Anolis sagrei: one gene and its partner. The main gene of each other region encodes a partner of the protein of the gene in region 2 in a complex. Links are inferred from orthologs where the notes say so. Each region holds a gene or a part of one and is shown on either strand. Other genes may lie near its edges.

The links.
Region 1: the proteins of TNKS (region 2) and USP25 are in contact, whole or in part, in a crystal structure (PDB 5GP7), measured with the Homo sapiens proteins. The link is inferred for Anolis sagrei from reciprocal best matches to the Homo sapiens genes TNKS and USP25. Residues at the interface, in NP_003738.2 of Homo sapiens: Arg836, Ser838, His842, Leu843, Gly846, Tyr847, Leu871, Asn876, Ser879, Tyr880, His882, Asp900, Trp902, Phe904, Glu909, Gln912, Lys913, Gln934, Glu935; in NP_037528.3 of Homo sapiens: Ser1046, Ser1048, Arg1049, Thr1050, Pro1051, Ala1052, Asp1053, Gly1054, Arg1055.

What each region holds. Positions count from the first base shown.
Region 1 is NC_090023.1:61,864,029-61,875,936, reverse strand, and holds the start of USP25 (ubiquitin carboxyl-terminal hydrolase 25), read right to left. Parts: upstream 4,975-11,908; 5' UTR 4,749-4,974; coding exon 4,701-4,748; intron 1-4,700. UniProt on the Homo sapiens protein: Deubiquitinating enzyme that hydrolyzes ubiquitin moieties conjugated to substrates and thus, functions in various biological processes including inflammation and immune response.
Region 2 is NC_090022.1:194,922,128-194,934,041, reverse strand, and holds the start of TNKS (poly [ADP-ribose] polymerase tankyrase-1), read right to left. Parts: upstream 5,228-11,914; 5' UTR 5,166-5,227; coding exon 4,622-5,165; intron 1-4,621.

The DNA of each region.
Region 1 (11,908 bases), on a different chromosome or scaffold from region 2:
GGAAAATGAGACTGGCACTGCCCACTGACAAATGTTTCTCTTAATGTGGTGCCAAGCCCCAGCCCATGGACCACACAGTAGGAGTAACACTGCCTTGCAGAACGCAGGGAATATAGAATATAACAACAGCCTCACTTTCTTTTTTACCATGACAGGAAAAATATGAACAGAAATCTAAAATCACTGCAGTGCAGAAATGTGGGTACAAAATACAGAAATCCAGACAAGACAGGGGTCCTCCTGGTCAGTTGTGAGTTCGATTGGGGTACAGGGGGGCAACCTGTGCTCGACGGAGTTACACTCCCCCTGAGGACACAGGACCGCAGTTGGGGGGTCTTCCTGTACTCAGCACTGACGCTTGATACTCACGTGTTGGCTGTGGCCAGGAAGGGCTTTGCATAGTTAAAAGCTTCTGCACCAGCTGCAACTGTACCTTGAGCAGCCTGACTTGGCAATGGTGGTCCATTCCTTGCTAACATCCAGTTTTGATTATTGTAACACCCTCCACATGGGGGCTGACTTTGAAGATGGCCCAGAAACTACAACTGGTGCAAAGGTTGGCAGCCATGATTCTAACTGGAAGCAATTAGGGGAGCGCACAGGCTTTAAGATCTGCTAAAGAGGCCCTCCTCTCACTTCCACCACAGGCATGGCTGGTGGGGTCAAGGGAGAGATCCTTCTCAGTGGTGGCCCCTCGAATAGGAAACACCTTCCCCAGGGAGATAAGGCAAGTCACCACACTGCCCTCTTTTCACAGCGATCTGAAAACTTGGATGTTCCAGCAAGCATTTGAGAAAGACTACTCCCTATTACAAATGCCCAGTCTATAGGTCACCAGATAGTACTCTGTTCTCTGGACCTCATCCAATTCCCCAGCCCTAGGGAATACAATTTTGAACTATCCCATGCCCGACCCTTTTATAGCCCGGTCATGCCCACTTTAGTAATTCTGGTCATTGGTTTTTGTTGAACATTGTCTGATGGAGCTTCAATGCTGCTGTTTTTTATTTAATTGTGTTTTATCTGGTTGTATTTTACAATGTCCCTATTTTAGAGGTGTTCTTGTTTTAATGGATTGCTTTGGTTTTTGTCTGTTGGACATTCTGTCCCATATGTAAGCCACCCCAAGTCCCTTCAGGAAGATGGTGGTGGGGTATAAGAAAAAATTGTTGTTGCTGTTGTTGTTGTTACCCTGTTGATGTACCCTGTTGCTGAAGTTGATACTAGATGGGCTCTACAAGAAAAAGAAACAGGAGAGTGGACATGAAGCACACGCTGGAAGAGCAAACAGGACAGTTACTTAAATTATAGGTTGAGTCTCCCTTATCAGGAAATTGAAAATTCTCCAAATACTGAATACCACAACTGCCAATTTCCTCTTTTGAAAATAGGGTGCTAGTCACATATCCAAACCCCACTGAGTTTTTTTCCTTGAAGGGGAATGAGAAGAGGTTAAAAGACTCAATTTGCACAAAAGCCAACAGCCCAGACGCTTTGTTTACCTTCTACTTGGCTATTGGTGGTGCAAAGCAGGGCAGGCACTTTAGAACCAGTCCGTGAAGGTGATTGTAGATTGCAGCCTTAATAGATTTTGCCTGTCTCCAGCCCAGAAAAACTGAACGAGATTCAATGGGCTTAGGATTTTCTCTTCTTGTTACTTTGTTAAAGTGTGCTGACAGCTGGAAAAGCGTCTGGGACATCTGCTTTTTGAAGGAACCTCATGAAAGCAGCATTTCCCCCTATCCACCCCACTCTTCTCTTTCCCCTGTCCACTTTCTGACAGTGGTGGAGTGGGGGCTCCTTGAAGTGAGTCTCAGTGAGCACTAGAAATGTTATAACCCTGCTTCCCCCAAACTTCATTCACCATATGTATCCAAATACAGGTGTTACAAAAAATGGAAATCTAATTTTATTATGATGCAGAGGAGTGAATAGTAACTTTATAAGAGTAACTAGAACCTGAACATCCCCATTCAACTCAGATTAATCAAAAACCACCCAGCACCCAATTTTAGTGGCTGCACACAGATATGACTCAAATGAATGACAAGTTGTAGAGATTCCATACCATTTCCAGATGATCATTACTGACTCACCAACAATGTATTCATGTAACAAGTCCAGAGCATATGACAGACTTCTAGAAACATTAATCCACACACCAATTTCTGTCTACAAGAATAATTCACTTTATACCATACAGAGACACTAAAAACATTATATTTTGAACAAAGACCACACTTTCAAACTGGTAAATTGATAATATCAGTAACTTTCAGTTTATTCATATAGATTTCATAAAAGAAGGATAAAAATAAACTGTGATGTCTTCTTTGAAGAAAGGGCATTAAATATGTTTTACAAACTTGAGAATGATTTTCACAAGCATTCAATGGTAACAACTTTACTTTCTCTTGATACCACAAGGCTCTCGGTGTTGGCAACATAAATAGCCCTTGCACACAGACTAAGTTCATCTGACAAGGTTGTTCCAGAGTCAGTTAAATACTTTTTTCCTGTACAGATCTAACTTCATGACAAAATTTCCACCAGGTGTCAGGCTGTCATACTCCAAAAGAAAAAGATATATATCTTAAGATGCCAGCCACACAACACCCCAAAAAGATATACATACATTTAAATTTGATTAACACAGGCCCCAAATATTCAAGAGTCGGATTCCAGTTTTGAAGGGGCAAGGTTAGCTAGATACATAAAGTTGGCAATGAGCAAGAATGCATCTTAGGCGATCATTTCCTGGCAAATTCTCGTTAAAGAGAACCCATGCTACTTTTACTTCACAACTACATCTATTACTTCAGAGTATAAGAGGAAAAGCTGTAACATGTTTCCGTTTCGGAACCAAAACACAAATTTTTGGCTTCTTCCAACCCTTTAAACTAGCTCTGAACTCTTTAAACACCTGCCTCAAACAAGCAAGAGTTCTTTCTCTCACCCTGGATATTCCACAGATATATAAACCCCACTTTCCTAGTTTCCAACAGACCTCACAACCTCTGAGGATGCCTGACATAGATGCAGGTGAAATGCCAGGAGAGAATGGCTCTGGAAATGGCCATACAGCCTGTAAAACTCACAGCAACCCAGTCTTTAAATTTAGTTTGCCAAAGTATCACAAAACTGGTTGTAGAGCTAATATGACCAGGAGAAGCAAGGTGCATCTCAGGACACAAGGACCGGGGGGGGGGGGGGGGGGAATGAAGGTGTTTAAAAATTGGGGAGAGGAATGAAAACAATAGAGAAGAATATTCTGTGAAGCAGCCTCCACAGACTTGACACACAAAACACCCTGAGACATTTGCCAATTTGCAACCAACCACAATTCAAAGTGCTGGCTTTAGCATTTAGGATTTCTGGGAATTGAAGGCCAAAACATCTGGGGACTCACAAGTTAAGCACCACTGCCCTAAACAGTTCTGGCCCAGCTTACCTATCCGAACATATCTCACCCTATGAACCAACCCGGATGCTAAGATCTTCTGGGGAAGCCCAGCTCTCGGTCCCAACTCCTTTGCAGGTGTGGCTGGTGAGGGCGAGAGACAGGGCCTTGTCAGTGGTGGTCCTGTGGAACTCCCTCCCCAGTGAAATTAGATTAGCTCCCTCCAGCCTGTCCTGGCTATAGGATCAAGCATTTGGAGAGTAGTACAGTGCAATAGGCAGCTAGGAAGTGCAATAGGCAGCTATGGATTATGTTCTGGGTCTTTTGTGTTATGGTTTTGAGTTCATTTAATGTATTGATACATTATGGTTTTTATTGATTTTAATGTATAATGCATATTGTGTTTGCATGTTTATATTTATTGTGCCACTGCATTATTTCCAGGTGTTTTGGACTACAACTCCCACCATTCCTACTTGACAAACTTGAGCCCTCCCTCTGGGTATTTTGGACTTCAGCTCCCACCATTCCTAATGGGCAAACTTGGGCCCTCCCTCCAGATGTTTTGGACTGCAACTCCCACCATTCCTAATGGGCAAACCTGAGTCCTCCCTCCTGATGTTTTGGACTTCAGCTCCCACTATTCCTAATGGGCAAACTTGAGCCCTCCCTCTGGGTATTTTGGACTTCAACTCCCACCATTCCTAATGGGCAAACTTGGGCCTTCCCTCCAGGTGTTTTGGACTTCAACTCCCACCATTCCTAATGGGCCAACTTGGGCCTTCCCTCCAGGTGTTTTGGACTGCAACTCCCACCACTCCTAATGGGCCAACTTGGGCCCTCCCTCCAGATATTTTGGACTTCAACTCCCACCATTCCAAACAGCCTCAGGCCCTTTCCTTTCCCCCCTCAGCCGCTTAAGCGGCTGAGGGGGGAAAGGAAGGGGCCTGAGGCTGTTCGGAATGGTGGGAGTTGAAGTCCAAAACACCTGGAGGGAGGGCCCAAGTTGGCCCACGCTTGGCGTAGTTGCACCCTGAGAGAAAGGCGACCAAATGCAAGGCGCTGTGATTCCAGCACACACACGCCGCTTGTGTTGTGTGTGTTTTGTCTCTCTCCCTCCCTCTGAATCAAAGGTCACAAGGAAGCCGAGGCGGGAGGACGCGCCCCAGAGCGGCAGGCCTCTCTCTTCCCTGCCAGGCCTCTCTCCGCTTTGAACCTTCCTCCCTCCCTCTTCCCTCCTTCCCTCCCTCCCTCCCTCTCTCTTTCAGACCCGGCGCCTGCCTGGGTTCCGCTCGCTCACCTTCTGGGCGTTGCTCTGCTGCTGCAGCACGTTCTGCTCCACCGTCATGGCTGGAGACGGCGCTGGGCGAAAGGGGGAAGAGCGGGAGCCCGAGGAGGCGGCCGAGGCCTCTGCTGCGGGAGCCAAGCGCAGCCGTGGCGGGAGGAGGAGGACGAGGAGGAGGCAGAGGGCGCTCGCTTAGTGGCGGGTGAAGGCGGCGGCGGCGGCAGCGCCCGCCTCAACCAAACCTGCCCGGTGCTGGCATCTTGCTCGGGCTCCTCCCATCCCTCCCTCAATCCCTCCTCCTCCTTCTTCCTCCGCTTCGGTTTCCTTTTCCTGGCGGCGCCTGGATGAAAGGGTGTCTCCCCCTCCTCTCCCTCCCCGTCTTCCGCCCCCAAACAGGAACACAACACACCCTTTCGCTCCCAGGACGAGGCCAGCCCTTCCTTATTCTTCCCCGGGATCCCCAATTACAGACAGTTCCCGACGACTATTGGCATAGGTTTCCAGAAGTGACAAAGACAAAAACCTGTCTGCCTACCAGTATTTAAATAATTATTATTATTTGAAACACCACAAGATAACTCGAGACAGGGCCTTTTCTGTGGTGCCCCCCCCCCCCCGACTCTGGAACGCCCTCCCAAAAGATCTTAGACAGGCCCCTACACTGGCAGTCTTCAGAAAGAACTTGAAGACTTGGCTGTTCCGATGTGCCTTCTCAGATTAGGAATCTCCAATACCAAGTCCTGGAAGCACTTTAGTAGAACTAAGATTGCTGCACACCGCACATTGCACTTACTTTATAATCCTACATACCTCCTGCCACATCAGCACTTTTAATCTTGTTCCCATTACTCTGGCCCGGCCCAGTTTTATAGTGTCTTGATGTATTGTTTATGTTTGTTGTTATACTGCTTAACTGTTTTTAATTTGCTTTAGGTATTGTATTGTTGTATTGTGTTTTGAGGCCTTGGCCTATGTAAATCGCATCGAGTCCTTCGAGAGATGCTAGCAGGGTACAAATAAAGTTATAATAAAGTCCAGAGCAGACACTCTGCTGGCTGTTGTATTGGATCACACGTGTCAAGGACTGTATTATTATTATTATTATTATTATTATTATTATTAGAAACACCACAAGATGAGTTCACAGCAGACACTCTGCTGGCTGTTGTATTGGATCACACGTCGAAAACTTCCCAAGTGTCTAGGACTGTGTGATGTATCTGCGAATAATGCATGCAGATCCCAGTAAGGTGGCCTTTTGCAGCTGGCAGGTCGTAATTTTGTCAGCACCAATTGTGTTTAAGTGCAGGCCAAGGTCTTTAGGCACTGCACCCAATGTGCCGATCACCACTGGGACCACCTTGACTGCTTGTGCCAGAGTCTTTGCAGTTCGATCTTTAAATCCTCATATTGTGTCAGCTTTTCCTGTTGTTTCTCTTCAATCATGCTGTCACCTCGGATTGCAACCAGGGGCTGCTCAACCCATTACGCAAAGTAAGCATTTGCAGTATAGTTGATTTTGCCCAGAGGCACTCTTGGGGGAAAATAGATGTTGACATATGCAAGTTATAGTTACTGGGATGTATAGTTCACCTACAATCAAAGAGCATTCTGAACTCCACCAATGTTGGAATTGAACCAAATATTGAACCACAGAACTCCCACGACAAACAGAAAACATATATCAGTGATTGGTGGGGGGGGGGGGCAAAATACTATTTGCTTACCGTTGAAAATTACCTAGGGCCGCCTCTGATTGCAACATCAACAATCCATACTTTGTTTTTTTAACACGATCGTGAGGTCAGGAGTATTGTGCTCCAAAACTCTGTCTGAATCCAGAAGTCCCAAAGTAGCTTGACGTTTTCATTTTCTGTAACTTTTTCCAGCTTGTGATCCCACCAGTTCTTTGTTGCAGGCAGATGGTATTTGTGGCACAAGTTCCAATGAATCATCTGAGCAATGGTGTTATGCCTCTGCTTGTAGTCTGTCTGCGCAATCTTCTTGCAGCAGCTCAGGACGTGATCTATTGTTTCATCTGCTTCCTTGCAGAGTCTACATTTGGGATCTGTCGTTGACTTTTCAATTCTGGCTTTGATGGCATTGGTTCTAATGGCTTGTTCTTGGGCTGCCAGAATCAGGCCCTCCGTCTCCTTTTTCAAAGTCCCATTTGTGAGCCACAGCCATGTTTTTTCTTTGTCAATTTGGCTCTCAATTTTTGCCATGAACTGCCCATGGAGAGCCTTCTTTGGCCAGTTTTGTCTTCTGCTCTGGATTGTGTTTTTACGGTATTGACTCTTTGTCTTTTGCACTTTAAGCAGTTTACTACTATTGACTTCGCTCAATGTTGGTTCTTGACTGCCCTTCACATAATTTGGCCATGTATGTTTCTCTTCTTCTACCATTTGTTTCACTTGCAGAAGCCCTCAGCCTCCTGATTTTCTGGGCAGGTAAAGTCTGTCGACATCACTACGCGGGTATAATAAGTAGTAGATGGTAATTAAAAAAAAATTCTGTCCAGATCATCCAGCTCTTCTTACGTCCAGTTCACAATCCCAGCAGTGTATCTAATGACGGGGATGGCCCAGGTGTTGATAGCCTTGATAGTATTTCTGCCATTTAATTTGCTCTTCAAAACCTTTCTGACTCTTTGGACATATTCTTTGCTGACCACATTTTTCACATGCCCATGCTTAATATTGTCCAACTGTAGTATGCCCAGATATTTATAGGCTTCAGGCTGATTACATTTTATGCTTTGTCCATTTGGCATCTCAGTGCCCTTGCTGTGAGTAATTTTCCCTTTCTTTAATGCCACTGTGACACATTTGTCTAGGCTAAACTCCATACCGATGTACTTCATACTGATTATACCAAACTCCATACTGATGATTATTATTATTATGGCAGAATATTGTTATTATTTTGATTCTGGCAGCCCAAGAACAAGTCATTAGAACCAATGCCATCAAAGCCAGAATTGAAAAGTCGACGACAGATCCCAAATGTAGACTCTGCAAGGAAGCAGATGAAACAATAGATCACGTCCTCAGCTGCTGCAAGAAGAACGCACAGACAGACTACAAGCAGAGGCGTAACACTGTTACTCAAATGATTCATTGGAACTTGTGCCACAAATACCATCTGCCTGCGACAAAGAACTGATGGGATCACAAGCCAGAAAAAGTTATAGAAAACGCACATGTCAAGCTACTCTGGGACTTCTGAATTCAGACAGAGTTTTGCAATACAATACTCCTGACCTCATGATTGTGTTAAAAAACAAAATATGGATTGTCGATGTTGCAATCCCATATGTCAGCAGGATTGAAGAGAAAGAACTGGAAAAGCTGACACGATATGTGGATTTAAAGTTCGAATTGCAAAGACTCTGGCACAAGCCAGTCAAGGTGGTCCCAGTGGTGATCGGCACACTGGGTGCAGTGCCTAAAGACCTTGTCCTGCACTTAAACACAATCGGTGCTGACAAGATTACCATCTGCCAGCTGCAAAAGGCCACCTTACTGGGATCTGCATGCATTATTCACCGATACATTACACAGTCCTAGACACTTGGGAAGTGTCCGAAGTAGCCAGCAGAGTGTCTGCTGTGGACTCAACTTGTTGTGTTTCTAATAATAATAATAATAATAATAATAAGGCCAGGATTGAAAAATCAGCTGATGACCCAAAATGCAGACTGTACAAGGAAGCTAATGAAACCATGGATCATATCCTCAGCTGTTGCAAGAAAATCGCACAGCCGGACTACAAAAAGACACAACTCTGTGGCTCAGATGATTCACTGGTACCACCTGCCAGCAATAAAGAATTGGTGGGATCACAAACCCGCAACGGCCGTGGAAAATTAGCATGCAAAAATACTGTGGGACTTTCGAATCCAGACTGACAAAGTTTTGGAACACAATACACCAGACATCACTATTGTGGAAAAGAAAAAACGTTTGGATTATTGATATTGCCATACTGGGTGACAGTCGCATTGAGGAAAAACAACAGGAAAAACTCAGCTGCTATCAAGACCTCAAAATCGAACTGCAAAGGCTCTGGCATAAACCAGTACAGGTGGTCCCAGTGGTCATTGGTGCACTGGGTGCCGTGCCAAAAGATCTCAGCCGGCATTTGGAAACAATAAACATCGACAAAATCACGATCTGTCAACTGCAAAAGGCCAACTTACTTGGATCTGCGCGCATCATTCGAAAATACATCACACAGTCCTAGACGCTTGGGGAGTGTTCGACTTGTGATTTTGTGATACGAAATCCAGCAAATAGATCTCCTTTGCTGTGACATACTATACTTTTGTGTCAATAATAATAATAATACAGTCCTAGACACTTGGGAAGTATCCAACTTGTGGTCCAATACAACAGCCAGCAGAGTGTCTGCTGTGGACTCATCTTGTCTTTCAAATAATAATAATAATAATAATAATAATAATAATAATAATAATAATAAAAAGGTAAAGGTTTTCTCATGACATTAAGTCCAGTTGTGTCCAACTCTGGGGGTTGTTGTTCATTCAAACTACAAGAAAGGAGATTCCATCTGAACATTAGGAAGAACTTCCTGACTGTGAGAGCTGTTCAGCAGTGGAACTCTCTGCCCCGGAGTGTGGTGGAGGCTCCTTCTTTGGAAGCTTTTAAACAGAGGCTGGATGGCCATCTGTCAGGTGTGCTTTGAATGCAATTTTCCTGCTTCTTAGCAGGGGGTTGGACTGGATAGCCCATGAGGTCTCTCCCAACTCTATGATTCTATGATTCTGTCTCCATTTCTAAGCCCTGAATTGTCCATAGACACCTCCAAGGTTATGTGGCCAGCAGGACTGCATGGAGCACCGTTACCTTCCTGCCAGAGTGGTACCTATTGATCTACTCACATTTACATGTTTTCGAATTGCTAGGTTGGCAGAAGCTGGTACTGACAGCAGAAACTCACGCCGCTCCCTGGATTTGAACCTTCAAACCGACCTTTGGGTCAAAAAGTTTAGCAGTTCAGTGGTTTGACCCACTGTGCCACCAGGGGCGCCTAATAATAATAATAATAATAATAATAATAATAATAATCTTTATTTATACCCCGACACCATCTCCCCAAAGGTGACTCGGGGTGGCTAACATGACACCAAGCCCAGAATTATAGTACAACAAAATAAAATAAAATACAAACAGCAAATAATGGCATCAAAATAAAATACAGAAAATAACAGAAAATGAAATAAACAGATGCAAAATAATGTTATGAAGAAATAAAATAAAAGCACAGTGGGCGGGCCAAATGCACAGAATAAGATGGATAAAACCGTGGGTGAGATAAGTAAATGGAGAAGTATGTGTCTGTAGGGGAGCTCAGAAGCGGCAAACCATGGGATTAAAAAAACCCTCTAAAATCAGAACAGTAAATAAAGAGCAACACACAAAAAGGAGAGGGATTCCAGACATGAATCAATCAGGGCCAGCTAACACATCCTAACAAAGGATCCCCCCAGGAAGCAATCAGCCAGGCTTTGAAGCTACAAAACCCCTCAATGCTAATCAAGGTGGCCAATTGCAACATTCACACTCACCTCAAGCAGACAAGAGTTCTTTCTTCCACCCTGGACATTCCACAGATATGTATTGTCCACAACTTTCATGGCCGGAATCACTGTGTTGCTGTAAGTTTTTCGGGCTGTATGGCCATGTTCCAGAAGCATTCTCTTCTGATGTTTCACCTGCATCTACGGCAGGTGTCCACCTGTGTCCCACCCTGGACATTCCACAGATATATAAACCCAATTTTCCTAGTTTCCAACGCCTCACAACCTCTGAGGATGCTTGCCATAGATGCAAGTGAAATGTCAGGACAGAATGCTTCTGGAACATGAGCATACAGCCCAAAAAAACTTACAGCAACCCATTCCACAGATATATAAGCCTCACTTACTAAGTTTCCAACAGACCCCTCAACCTATGAGGATGCCTGCCATAGATGCAGGCGAAACGTCAGGAGAGAATGCTTCTGGAACATGGCCATACAGCCCGGAAAACTCACTGCAACCTACGAAACACTCCTATTGTTTACATTCATAGCTACATCTCAAACCACACTGTGTTGTGCAAGTAGAAGTGTCAATATGCATGCATTTTTGAATTTTCAAATGACTGTAATTCATTGATAGCACTTTGGATTTTGACTATGGTCCCTTCCACATCTGAATATAATCCCACATTATCTGCTTTGAATTGGGATATATGGGAGTGTGAACTCAGGGCCCTTGCAGACAGGCCCTATATCCCAGGATCTGATCCCAGGTTTATCCCAGATTACCATCTGTCAGCTGTAAAAGGCTACCCTACTCAGATCTGCACACATTATTCGCTGATACATCACACAGTCCAAGACACTTGGGAAGTGTCCGACGTGTAATCCAATACAACAGCCAGCAGAGTGATGTTGTTTGCTGTGTACCAAACTTGTTGTGTTTGAAATAATAATAATAATAATAATAATAATAATAATAATGTGCAAACATACAAGTTTTATATGAAACGTCAATAAATTTTATATTTAGACTTGGCTTCCAACTCAAAGCTGTCTCATTATGTATGTAATAAGTTAAAATAAATTCAGCACCCCTTATCTGGAATTCCAAAATTCTCCAAGATGGTCCAAAATAGTTTGGCTGGGATTAGTGACATCTTTGCTTTATGGTGGGTCTATTTTCCATTTTGCAAACTTTGTGTCACACACCAAATTGTTATGAATCTTATGTATAAAACTACCCAGAGCAGTGATGGGCAACCTTTTGAGCTTGGTGTATCAAAATTTGCCAAAAATCCGAGCATAACTTGGGTGGGGTGTCACTTAAAAAATCCCATAATTTTGCAATATTTATAGTTTAAATAACAAAAATGCATAATTGTAATATATAACTGTATTTAATAAACTAAAAACTAATTATTTAACTTACCTGCTTAGTGACTTTTTAGTTCATCAGTTGGTTTCTTTTGTTGGTCTTGATATTATTTAACTTGTGTGGGGTGCCATGAACTATGATAAGTGAACTAACCTGACAATTAGTGACTTTTTTGTTGCTGTATTTCATTGACTAAATCTCAAATTTAAGGTTGGTGTGCTGGCACGGCAGTGCCAGGAGATTTGAATTCCTTTTCTTGCACTGCTAGTTTGCATGAATCTATTTAAGCCATGGATTTTGC
Region 2 (11,914 bases):
GGTTTCCAACAAAGGAGGGCAAACATTCAATGCCATAAAACAATACAAAATTATCAAATAGCACCATAAATAAAACATCTATAACAAATTATAACAACTTTTTTTTAGTTTTTAGTTTTTGTTTTTTTGTTGTGTCAGGAGCGACTTGAGAAACTGCAAGTCGCTTCTGGTGTGAGAGAATTGGCTGTCTGCAAGGACGTTGCCCAGGGGTACCAGGATGTTTTGATGTTTTACCATCCTTTGAGGGAGGCTTCTCTCATGTCCCCGCAATTGGGAGCCGGAGCTGACAGAGGGAGCTCATCCACGCTCTCCCCGGATCCGAACCTATGACCTATCAGTCTTCAGTCCTGCCAGCACAAGGGTTTAAACCACTGCGCCACCGGGGGCTCCATTATAACAACTACTCACACAGTTTAAATAATTAGATAAAACATATAAATCTATTATATAAATACCATCTTAATGCCTATAATTTTAGTCAAATTTTAAGAGTTTTTAAGGATTTATATGTCAAATTGTGTGGAATATATTATGTATGATTTATTCAAGTTGGTTTTTGATTTTTTTATGTATTATTCTTGGCACTGAATGTTTGCCACTGTGTTTTATTTTGTTGTAAGCCGCCCCAAGTCCCCTTGGGATGATTGGACGGGCTATAAATAAAGCATTATTATATACCTACAAAGTAATAAAACTAATCAGTTTAAAAACAATTTAAAATAGTTAAAATAACAATTGTTATATAATGTATCTGCTGCCAACAAGCCAGAGTAAGCTGCCATGTTCTAGTCAAGACTGTAAAACATAATATTCTAATCCTCCTCTCCATAAGCTAAAAATATGTTTTAAGCATTTTTTTTAAGGAGACAAGGGAAAAGGCCATTTTTACTTCTTTAGGGAGGGAGTTCCAGAGGCGGGGGTGATCACAGAGAAGGCCCTATCTCTCGTTCCCACCAACGATGCTTGAGACATAGGTGTGACTGAGAGCAGGGCCTCCTCCGCAGACTGCAGTGGCTGGGTCGGTGTATATACGGAGATAGGGATAGTCAAATGTAATAGTGAAAAATATGTAATGTTTCAAATATGTAATGTTTCAAACGAACCTAGATATGTTTAATTTTCCAGACAGACTTTTTCTTCGTTTTGTGTGATATTCAAATCTATGAAAGGCAGAGTTATTTTTTTGTAAATCTCTGTACACTCCCATGTTGCGGCAGCTCCACTGGCTGTCGGTCTGTTTCTGGGCTAAATACAAAGTGCTTGTCATTACCTTTAAAGCCCTAGATAGTTCAGGCCCAGGCTATTTGACAAATCACATCTTCTCCTGCAAACCAACTCAGACACTGTGGTCAGTGGAGGAGGACCTACTCTCGGTCCCACTCTCGTCTCAACTACAGTTGAAGGGAACGAGAGGGAGGGCCTTCTCCGTAATCAGCCCTCACCTCTGGAACTTCCTCCCTAAAGAAATAAAAATGCTCCCCCTCCCGTCTCTCCTTTAAAAAACAATTAAAAACCCATCTTTGCAGATATGGAGAGGAGGAGAATAAGACGACAGTATTCAGCTAATAGGCCCTGACTGGAAATTGTTGTGGCATGCGAGCTCTGTTGGCTCTGTCAGCCTTGTGAACATCACTGGCCACATTATTTTAAATATTGTAAATCAATTTTGGTGTTTTTACATATTGTGTTTATGTTTATTTCAGATATCATTTAATTGTTAGCTCATGTTATTATTTAATTCTAGGTTGTGTGTTCTAATTTGGTTTTAGATGTTGGTTTATTTTGGGACTTGGGATTTGGTTGGTTGTTTGTTGTATTTGTATCCACTGTTTTATCACGGCATTGAATGTTTGCCTTTGTATCTGCTGGAATCCACTGGGGAGATAGGTAGATAGAGTCAAATACAAATAACGTTTTATTATCATTATTAAAAACGTGTTTAGATTTATTTCTGTTCTGTGTGAAGAAAAGCTCTGCATGGCTCAGGTCCTGCCTATTTATGTGACCACATTCCCGCCCCCTCATGAACCTGTTCAGGCCTTTCAATCAGCTGGGGAGGCCCTCCTCTCGATCCCACCTCCATCACAAACGAGGCTAGTAGGGACAAGGGAGAGGGCCTTTTCAGTAATGGCTCCCTGACTCTGGAATGCCCTCCCCAGGGAGACTAGATAGATACCTACCCTCATGGCATTTTGGAAGGATTTGAAGGCCTGGTTATTTACACTTAGAAGTAAATAAAATAAAATAAAATTAAAAAGTAACTAAAGAAGATGCTCTTTTTTAGTTACTTTTCCTATTAGAGTGGGAGGAAAATAGTTTAAAATAAGACATGGGTTCAGACTCAGAGCGATAAGGTTGTCGTAGAGTTCATGCAGTTAATTGTGCTTTGGAATCATGGAAGCCATAGTTTTACAAGGTCTTTAGCCTTCTCTGCTAAATAATGACCGTGCCTCAAGAAGTCCGACTTGACCATGGGTGGTCCATGCCTTAGTTACCTCAAGATTGGACTACTGTAATGCACTCTACTTGGGGCTGCCCTTGAAAAGGCTAACTTTTATTGAGGGGTGTTAATGTTTACCATCTGTCTTTTTGAGTTGCCTGCAATAACTGTATGAGACAAATATTTTTAAATATGTTTTTTAATTTCTTACTGTAAATGTGTTTTTATAGGTTATTGGTTTATATGTGCATATTGTTTTGTATAGTCTTTGATAAAATGTTGTAAGCCGCTTTGGGTCCTGTTTAGGGAGAAATGTACGATATAAATAACTATTTATTATTCTTATTTGAAGCACAACAAGATTAGTAAACAGCAAACAAGGTAACTATGCTGGCTGTTGTATTGAAGCACATGTTGGACACTTCCCAAATGTCTAGAACTGTGTGATGTATTAACGAATAATTTGTGCAGATCCCAGTAGGGTGGCCTTTTGCAGCAGACAGATGGAACGACTAGACAATGAGTCCAGACAATGTTTTTAACAAGGAAACACTATGAATTTATATTTTATTGATTTGTTTAGTTTTTATTATATGTTATGTTTTTAATTGTATTTATGATATTGTAATGAATTTTGCCCTGTTAACCGCCTTGAGTCGCCTATGGGCTGAGAAAGGTAGTATACAAATACAGTAAATAAATAAACAAATAATTTTATCAGTGCTGACTGTGTTTAAGTGCAGGCCAAGGTCTTTAGGCACTGCACCCAGTGTGCCGATCACCACTGGGACCACCTTGACTGGCTTATGCCAGAGTCTTTGCTGTTCGGTCCTTAAATCCTCGTATCGTGTCAGCTTTTCCAATTGTTTCTCTTCAATCCTGCTGTTGCCTGTGATTGCAACATTGGTGATCTATACTTTGTTTTTTAACACGATCGTAAGGTCAGGAGTAAGATTTATTATTATCATTATCATCATCATCATCATCATTATTATTAAAACAGGCTGTCGGCAGTGATTAGTCAATCTCTATGACATGGATTTACCTCGATTAGGGTAGCAAGCCCTTTTCAGCTCACAGGAACGACTATGTTTTAATCTAAAGTCTATCATTTTTATTAACTAGCTATCCCCTGCCACGCATTGCTGTGGTCCTGTCTGTGCATATTTGTTTTGTGTGTATATATTTTTGTGTATATGCGTATATATGCGTGTCTGCGTATATATATGATTTTCAAATGCGTTGTAATGTATTTTTTTATTTTTTTTTTGCTTTTTAAGTATCTTCTGCTGTGTTTTTCAGTGTTTTTATGAGTGAGGGTCACTCGTTGGCCTGATAGGTGTATTGTGTCCAAATTTGGTGTCAATTCGTCCAGTGGTTTTTGAGTTATGTTAATCCCACAAACGAACATTGCATTTTTATTTATATTGATTTTGGGTTGTTGTGGGTTTTTTTCGGGCTATATGGCCATGGTCTAGATCAGGCGTCCACAAACTTTTTAAAAAGAGGCCCAGGTCACAGTCCCTCAAACTGTTGGAGGGCCGGATTATAATTTGAAAAAAACATGAATGAATTCCTATGCACATTGCACATATCTTATTTGTAGTGCAAAAAACACTTAAAAACAATACAATAATTAAAATGAGGAACAATGTTAATAAATATAAATTAGTATTTCAATGGGAAATGTGGGCCTGTTTTTGGCCGATGAGATAGGATTGATGTTGTTGTTGTGTGCTTTTAAGTAGTTTCAGACTTAGGTTGAACCTGAGCGAGGGCCGGGTAAATGACCTTGGAGGGCCGCCTCCGGCCCCCGGGCCTTAGTTTGAGGACCCCTGGTCTAGAGGCATTCTCTCCTGACGTTTCGCCTGCATCTATGGCAAGCATCCTCAGAGGTAGTGAGGATTGATTTTGTTTACATGTACCAACAGACCCCTCAACCCCTGAGGATGTCTGCTGTAGATGTGGCCATAGCCATATAGCCCAGAAAACTCACAGAAACCCTATCACAACATTGTTTATTTACATTTAATGTTAATGCTTCAAAGAAGGCAGGCTGAATGGCTCTGCCCCCTACATATTTTCACTTCTCCAAATTGGGCCTCTTTGCAAACTGTTTGGACACCCCTGGGAGAAGCTCCCCTGTGAGCCCCCCACCCGGGAGGCCTTCCTCCTGCTCACCTGCCGCGAAGTGCAGCGGGGTGGACTTCCTCCCGGCCATGTCCTTGGCGTTGACGTTGGTGGCATCCACCAGGCGCCGGACCCGGGTCACGTCCCCATTCCGGCAGGCCTCGAGCAGCTCCCGGAAGGCCCCGCTGCCCACGGGCGGAGGGGGCGGCTGCAGAGGCGGCGGCGGAGGGGGAGGAGGCGCGGGCGGGTCGGGGCTCTCCGCGGCGGCCGGGCTGGAGGCCGCCGAAGACGACGACGAGGAGGAGCCCGAGCTGCTGCTGCTGCTTGTGCTGCTGGTGGCGACGCTGCTGGCTCCGGAACCCGGAGGCGCAGGAGGCCCAGAGGCCTCTCCGGCGCTCTCTGGGGAGAAAGGCCTCTCCGCCGGCCCTTCGCGGCCGCCGCTCGCAGTAGCCTCGCCCTCAGGCCCGGAAAGGCTAGGCCGCTGCGGCTGCTGAGGGGAAAGGCTGGGGCTCCTTGGCGGAGAGAGCGGCGGCGGCGGCGCCTGGTGGTGATGCTGCTGCTGCTGAGAGCGACGCGACGACGATGCCGCCGCCATTTCCCAGCTCCTGGGAGCGCTCGGGTCCTGTCACTGCGGCAACGGGGACGGAGCGCCCGCCCTCGCTTCCGCTCCCCGCGACCAATCAGGGTCCGGCCCGCGGGAGGTGACGTCAGACGTCGCGAGGGTGACGCAAGGCAGGGAAGCCCTTCCACAGAGAAGGACTGCTTCCCGTTTGGCCTTTCTCAGGGCCCTGCCACACAGCCATTTCACCCGGAATATCAAGGGAGAACATCCACAATGTCTGCCTTGAACTGCATTATCTGAGCCCGCACTACCAGTTCAATGTTAATTGTATACAACTGTGAGAAAGGGGTCTAAGGAAGGAAGGGCCTGGAAGGGAACTTCAGGAAGGAACTATTCCAGCTGCCATTGTTATTATTATCACCACCACCATCATCATCTGCAAATTACATAGAGAACTTTAGGCCCTTCCACAAAGACATATAATTCAGAATATCAAGGCAGAAAATCCACAATATCTGCTTGAACTGGGTTATCTAAATCCACACTGCCAGGCCCGTAGCCAGGATTTCGATTGGGGGGGGGGGGGGTGAGGTTTTTTCAGGGGGGGGGCTGAGTTTCAGGGGGGGGGTGCTGACTCTGAGTGAAAGAGGGTCTAGCCTAGCAAACCTTTTGTATCATTGCCCCAATTCCCCCATGCATATGGGATATATTGAGTATGGTGATCAGATCCTGATAGGAATAAACATAACAGTTGAAATAATGCACCAGTAAGGCCTTTTCACGAACCACCATGAGAATTTCGGGGGGGGGAGGGGCTGAAGCCCCTCAAGCCCCCCCCCCCTACCTGCCTGCACACTGCCATTTAATCCAGTTCAATGTGGATTTTCTATAGCTTTGTGGAATGGCCCTAAGGAACCAAGGGACCTGGAAGGGAATTTAAGTGAGGAGCCACTCCAGCTATCATTATTATTATTATTATCACCACCATCCAACGACCTAAATCTAGAAATAGTTTTCTAAGATCTACAGAGACACTCGCTGGAACACCTCAGCAAGCGAGAGTTAAAAAGTGGCAGGCTCAAACCCAGAACCTTAACCAATAGCTGATACCTGAGAGACTCCCCCCTGGGCACACAGAGGACTGGGCGACTTGGAAGGCGCTGAACAGACTGCGCTCTGGCACCACAAGATGCAGAGCCAACCTCAAGAAATGGGGCCACAGAGTGGAATCCACGACATGCGAGTGTGGAGAGGAGCAAACCACTGACCACCTGCTGCAATGCAACCTGAGCCCCGCCACATGCACCATGGAGGACCTTCTTGCAGCAACACCAGAAGCACTCCAAGTGGCCAGATACTGGTCAAAGGACATTTAATCAACTACCAAGCTTGCAAATTTTGTGTTTTGTATGTTTGCTTGTTTTGTTCTGTTAGAAATGTAATACAATTGACTGGTTGCCCTGACACGAGAAATAAATAAATAAATCACCACCATCATCTGCAAATTACTTAGAGAACTTTAAGACCTCATCTACCCTACCATATAAGTCTGGGGCTGGATCTACACTGCCATGTTATATGATTTTGAAGCTATTGTAGACAATTTCTAAAGTGTCACGTACAATTTGTTTAATTTTCAGAATTCCTTTTCAATCTGCTCTAATCAACATATTCATTTGAAAAGGTCAGAGGGAAAAACATTCCAGAAAAAGTCTAAGGCTGGATCTACACTGCCATATAATCCGGATTTTCAAAGCAGATCATATTATCTGCTTTGTACTGGATTGTATGAGTCTACACTGCCACATGCTCCAGTTCAAAGCAGATAACCTGGATTTTATATGGCTGAGTAGAAGGGGCCTGAAACTGCATTATTATTATTACTATTATTACTATTATTATTATTATTATTATTATTATTATTATTATTATTTTACTGACACAAAAGCACAGTATGTCACAGCAAATGAGATCTATATGCCGGATTTCGTATCGCAAAATCACAAGTCAAACACTTCCCAAGCGTCTAGGACTGTGTGATGTATTTTCGAATGATATGTGCAGATCCAAGTACGGCGGCCTTTTGCAGTTGACAGATTGTGATTTTGTCAATGTTTATTGTTTCCAAATGCCAGCTGAGATTTTTTGGCACGGCACCCAGTGTGCCAATGACCACTGGGACCACCTGTATTGGTTTATGCCACAGCCTTTGCAGTTCGATTTTGAGGTCCTGATAACGGCTGAGTTTTTCCTGTTGTTTTTCCTCAATGCGGCTGTCACCTGGAATTGCGACATCAATAATCCAAACTTTTTTCTTTTCCACAATCATGATGTCTGATGTATTGTGTTCCAAAACTTTGTCAGTCTTGATTCGAAAGTCCCACAATATTTTTGCGTGTTCATTTTCCACTACCTTTGCAGGCTTATGATCCCACCAATTCTTTATTGCTGATAGGTGGTGCTTTTGACATAAGTTCCAGTGAATCATTTGGGCCACGAAGTTGTGTCTTTGTTTGTAGTCTGTCTGCGTGATTTTCTTGCAACAGCTGAGGATATGATCCATGGTTTTATCAGCTTCTTTGCACAGTCTGCATTTTGGGTCATCAGCTGATTTTTCAATCCTGGCCTTAATTGCATTTGTTCTGATGGCTTGCTCCTGGGCTGCAAGAATCAGGCAGAATTATTATTATTATTATTATTATTATTATTATTATTATCATTATTGGGTTGCTGTGAGTTTTTCGGGTTGTACTGCCAGGTTCCAGAAGCATTCTCTCCTGCCGTTTCACCCACATCTATGGCAGGCATCCTCAGAGATTGTGAGGTTTGTTGGAAGCTCGTTTTCTGCTGTTCTGGAGTTGCTGTTCTTAGGACTCAGAACCATCAGTTCAAATGATGGGGGGGGGGATGCCACCTAAATATTAGGAAGAACATCTTGGTGCTAAGAGCTGTTCAACAGTAAAATATGCTGCCTCGAAAAGTGGTGGATGCTCCTTCTTTGTTAGTTTTGTGGCTGGCAGTCCATCTGCCAGGGGGTGCTTTAATTGTGCTTTTCCTGCATGGCAGAAGGGGGTTAGACCAGATGACCCTTACGGTCTTTTCCAACTCTAGGATTCTATACAAATTGTATCCCAGCATTAATTGCTGCACTGTCTGCTCATTCTTCTTTCAAGCCTTGGACTTTGTGTGTGTGTGTCAGGGGCGACTTGAGAAACTGCAAGTCGCTTCTGGTGTGATATAATTGGCAAAGAGAAAATAAGAGAGGCAAAAACTGAGACACTTCTTCTTTCCCTCATAAAAGGACTGCTACCACGTTGATGGGAAGTGGGGAAATCGAGACTCTTTGTTACCAAACTGTGAGCGAGGTGCTTAAAACCTATCTGCAGCACGAAGAAGTCTCGCTTTTTTGAATGCCAAATTGTGTAAGCCTGCTATAGAAGCATAATGCACTTTTTCTTACATTTTGTGGTTTTCTTTCCAGACAGATCTTGTATTCCAGGATATGATCCCAGGTTTTCTGTTTATCCCAATAATAATAATTTATTTATTTATTTATTTATTTATACCTCGCCACATTCTCCCCAAAGGGGACTCGGGACTGCTAACACGAGGCCAAGCCCAAAAATAATACAGCAAAGTTAAACACAAAATAACAGAAAAATTACATCACAACAAAATACATGAAGTAACAAAATAAAATAAACAGTGCAAAACAACATAATAAAAATCAAACACAAAGGGCAGGCCAAATGTGCAAGATAAAATGTTAAAACATTAAAACGTTATCCTAGATTTTCTGGCAATGTGGACTCATACAATCTAATTTAAAACAGAAAACCTGGGATCAGATCCTGGGATACAGGGCCTGTCTGGAAGGACCCCAAGTCACTAAGAACTTTATGTTGTTGGGGGCATCGAATTTTGCCAACTGTAAATTGCCTTGAGTCACCTTTGAGCTGAGAAAGGCGGTATATAAATACAATAAATAAATAAATAAATAAACGTTGAAGACTTTCTAGCCAATTCCAAAAGGGAAGGTGAAACATATTTTTTAATTCTAAAAAATCACATTGAACTTGCTCAAAAGAAAAGAAATTAATAAGAATCTAAATAAAAATATTTAACACAGATTTGTGTTGTTTAGTACTTTGTTCTCCTTAAAGAAGTGATGCAAAAAGTAATGCTTCTTAGAGTAATGTTATGTCTTGCTTTCTTGCCAAACTTTTAATACAATTATCTTCAAATAATGGATCACCTGCAGATCTTTTCTATTGAACAATTCCTTCCAAATCTGCAAAGTATCAAATAACTGTCAGACCATCACAGTGACATTTTCAGTGAACCAACAAGGAGAAAAGATTATGAACCTTTCCCTGCAGTAAAGAATATCAAGAGTTTGATTTACAAGAGGAATTGCTTTCTTACCCCTCACTTAACTCCAATGTGTTTTCCTGACAGTAAATAAGAATTTGAAGCTGTTGTAGACAGTTCCTAAAGTGTCACATACAATTTGTTTAATTTTCAGAATTCCTTTTCAATCTGCCGTAATCAACATATAGACCATATTATTCATTTGAGAAGGTCAGAGGGAAAAAATATTCCAGAAAAAGTAATAAAATATTTGAGCTTTGAGAATATTTCTTATCTCACCTGAGTTTTTGTTATGTTTTGCTTTCTTGATCTTCTCAAACTATCAATGTAATTATCTGTGTCACCTATTTTGCACCGGACAAGCTCTTCCAAAGCTGCAACAACAAAAAGTCACCAAAGCATCAATTTTTAAAGTTATTTTATTTTATTTGATACAGCCCGACAATTAACAAATTTTTGCCATACAAGACTTATCTTAGTATACAGTATTCCAAAAGTAAATATTCCTTAAATGCTAATTTATACATTCCAATAACCCACACATACCCCATTCTAAAGCATCAAATAACACCTCTCAACAAAGGATTCCCCCAGGCAGGAAGCAGTCAGGCTTTGAAGCTGCAAGGGTATTCAATGCTAATCAAGCTGGCCAATTGCAACATTCACACTCGCCTCAAATAGACAATAGTTCTTTCCGCCACCATGGACATTCCACAGATATATAAACCCCACTTGCCTCGTTTTCAAGAGATCTCACAACCTCTGAGGATACCTGTCTTAGATGTGGACAAAACGTCAGAAGAGAATACTTCTGGAACATAGCCATACAGCCCGGAACACTCACAGCAACCCATCAAATAACTATTGAACCATCACAGTGATATCCTCAGTGAGCCAGCAAGGAAAATGGCAAAATATATTTCAGTGCAGTAAAGGATACAATTTCAGGATCTACCTTCACATTGCTGATGTTCCTTGTGACACCGTCACACTTCTCACTTCTTGAATCATTCCAGCAACTGAAATCACATGGAATTGTTTATATCTTTGTTTACTTTTTAAAAAATCTTGTTAAAATGCAGTTCGTTTATTCTTTTTCATGTCACCTGCTTTAAAGTGCTTTAACTTGTAACATCTCCGGTAAACCTGGGAAAAAGTCCACATATGATCAAACAAAAGTTAAACATCATATAAGGGATACATTTCTAAATGGGAAGAATTCATATCCTGGAAAATACTTAGGCTGCTTAAAAGCCATTTCTTCACTTTGTACTCATATATAACCTCTTTGTAAAATTGACGTGTAATTTCCCTTTTTAAAAGAACTGTAAATCAGTTTGATAAGGATATATAAACATGTATATTCTGAAAGTAGTTGGAACAAATTAGTCAGAAAATTGAAGTGTTTCAGTATTTCATGATGACCAGTCTATGCCTTACTTTGCCTGTGTTTCTCACTATAGCAGTAGCATATTCTGAAGAATACTGGAGGAAAGGAATCCGGGAACTTAGGTAAGCACATCATTATTCTCAATCCGTAACGATTGCCACGGTATTTCTTTTGTGTCTCTCTCCACAGTATTTTCTGAGGACTAATCGCTGTGGTTAAGTATTATTTTTCCATACAGAATGCAAACACACTGGTACATAGAGGAAGACATAGAGATGAACTGAAGGTATAAGTGGACCTATATCTTGGGAATTGGTTGTGTTATAATTTTAAAAATTAGCTTCCATACAATAAATCATTTAGTGAAAAGGAAACAAAAAATTGGTCATTGTTACTATCATCCTAGCAAGCTTTAGACCAGGGATCTACAAACTTTTTAAACAGAGGGCCAGGTCACAGGCCCTCAAACTGTTGGAGAGCCGGATTATAATTTGAAAAAAATCATGAATGAATTCCTATGCACATTGCACATATCTTACTTGTAGTGCAAAAAAAAAAAACCCCACTTAAAAACAATACAATAATTAAACTGAAGAACAGTTTTAACAACTATAAACTTATTAGTATTTCAATGGGAAGTGTGGGCCTGCTTTTGGCTGATGAGACAGGATTATTGTTATTGTTGTTGTGTGCTTTCAGGTCGTTTCAGACTTAGGTTGACCCTGAGCAAGGGCAGGTAAATGACCTTGGAGAGCTGTATCCGGCCCCTAGGCCTTAGTTTGAGGACCCCTGCTCTATATCTTCCCTCTAGCCAGTCTGATGGTATTGTTTGAAAGCACAGGGCTGTAAATGCTGTATTGTTTCCAGTAAAAACTCCATTGTAATTCATGCAATAACCTCACAGTGGAGTCATTGTATATGCATTTGTTATATCTTTCCTGCCACCTTGTGTCCAGAATGGTGAATTGTATGGTTAGATTTATCCATAAAAAGAATATACTGGTTTACATATCTCCCATAC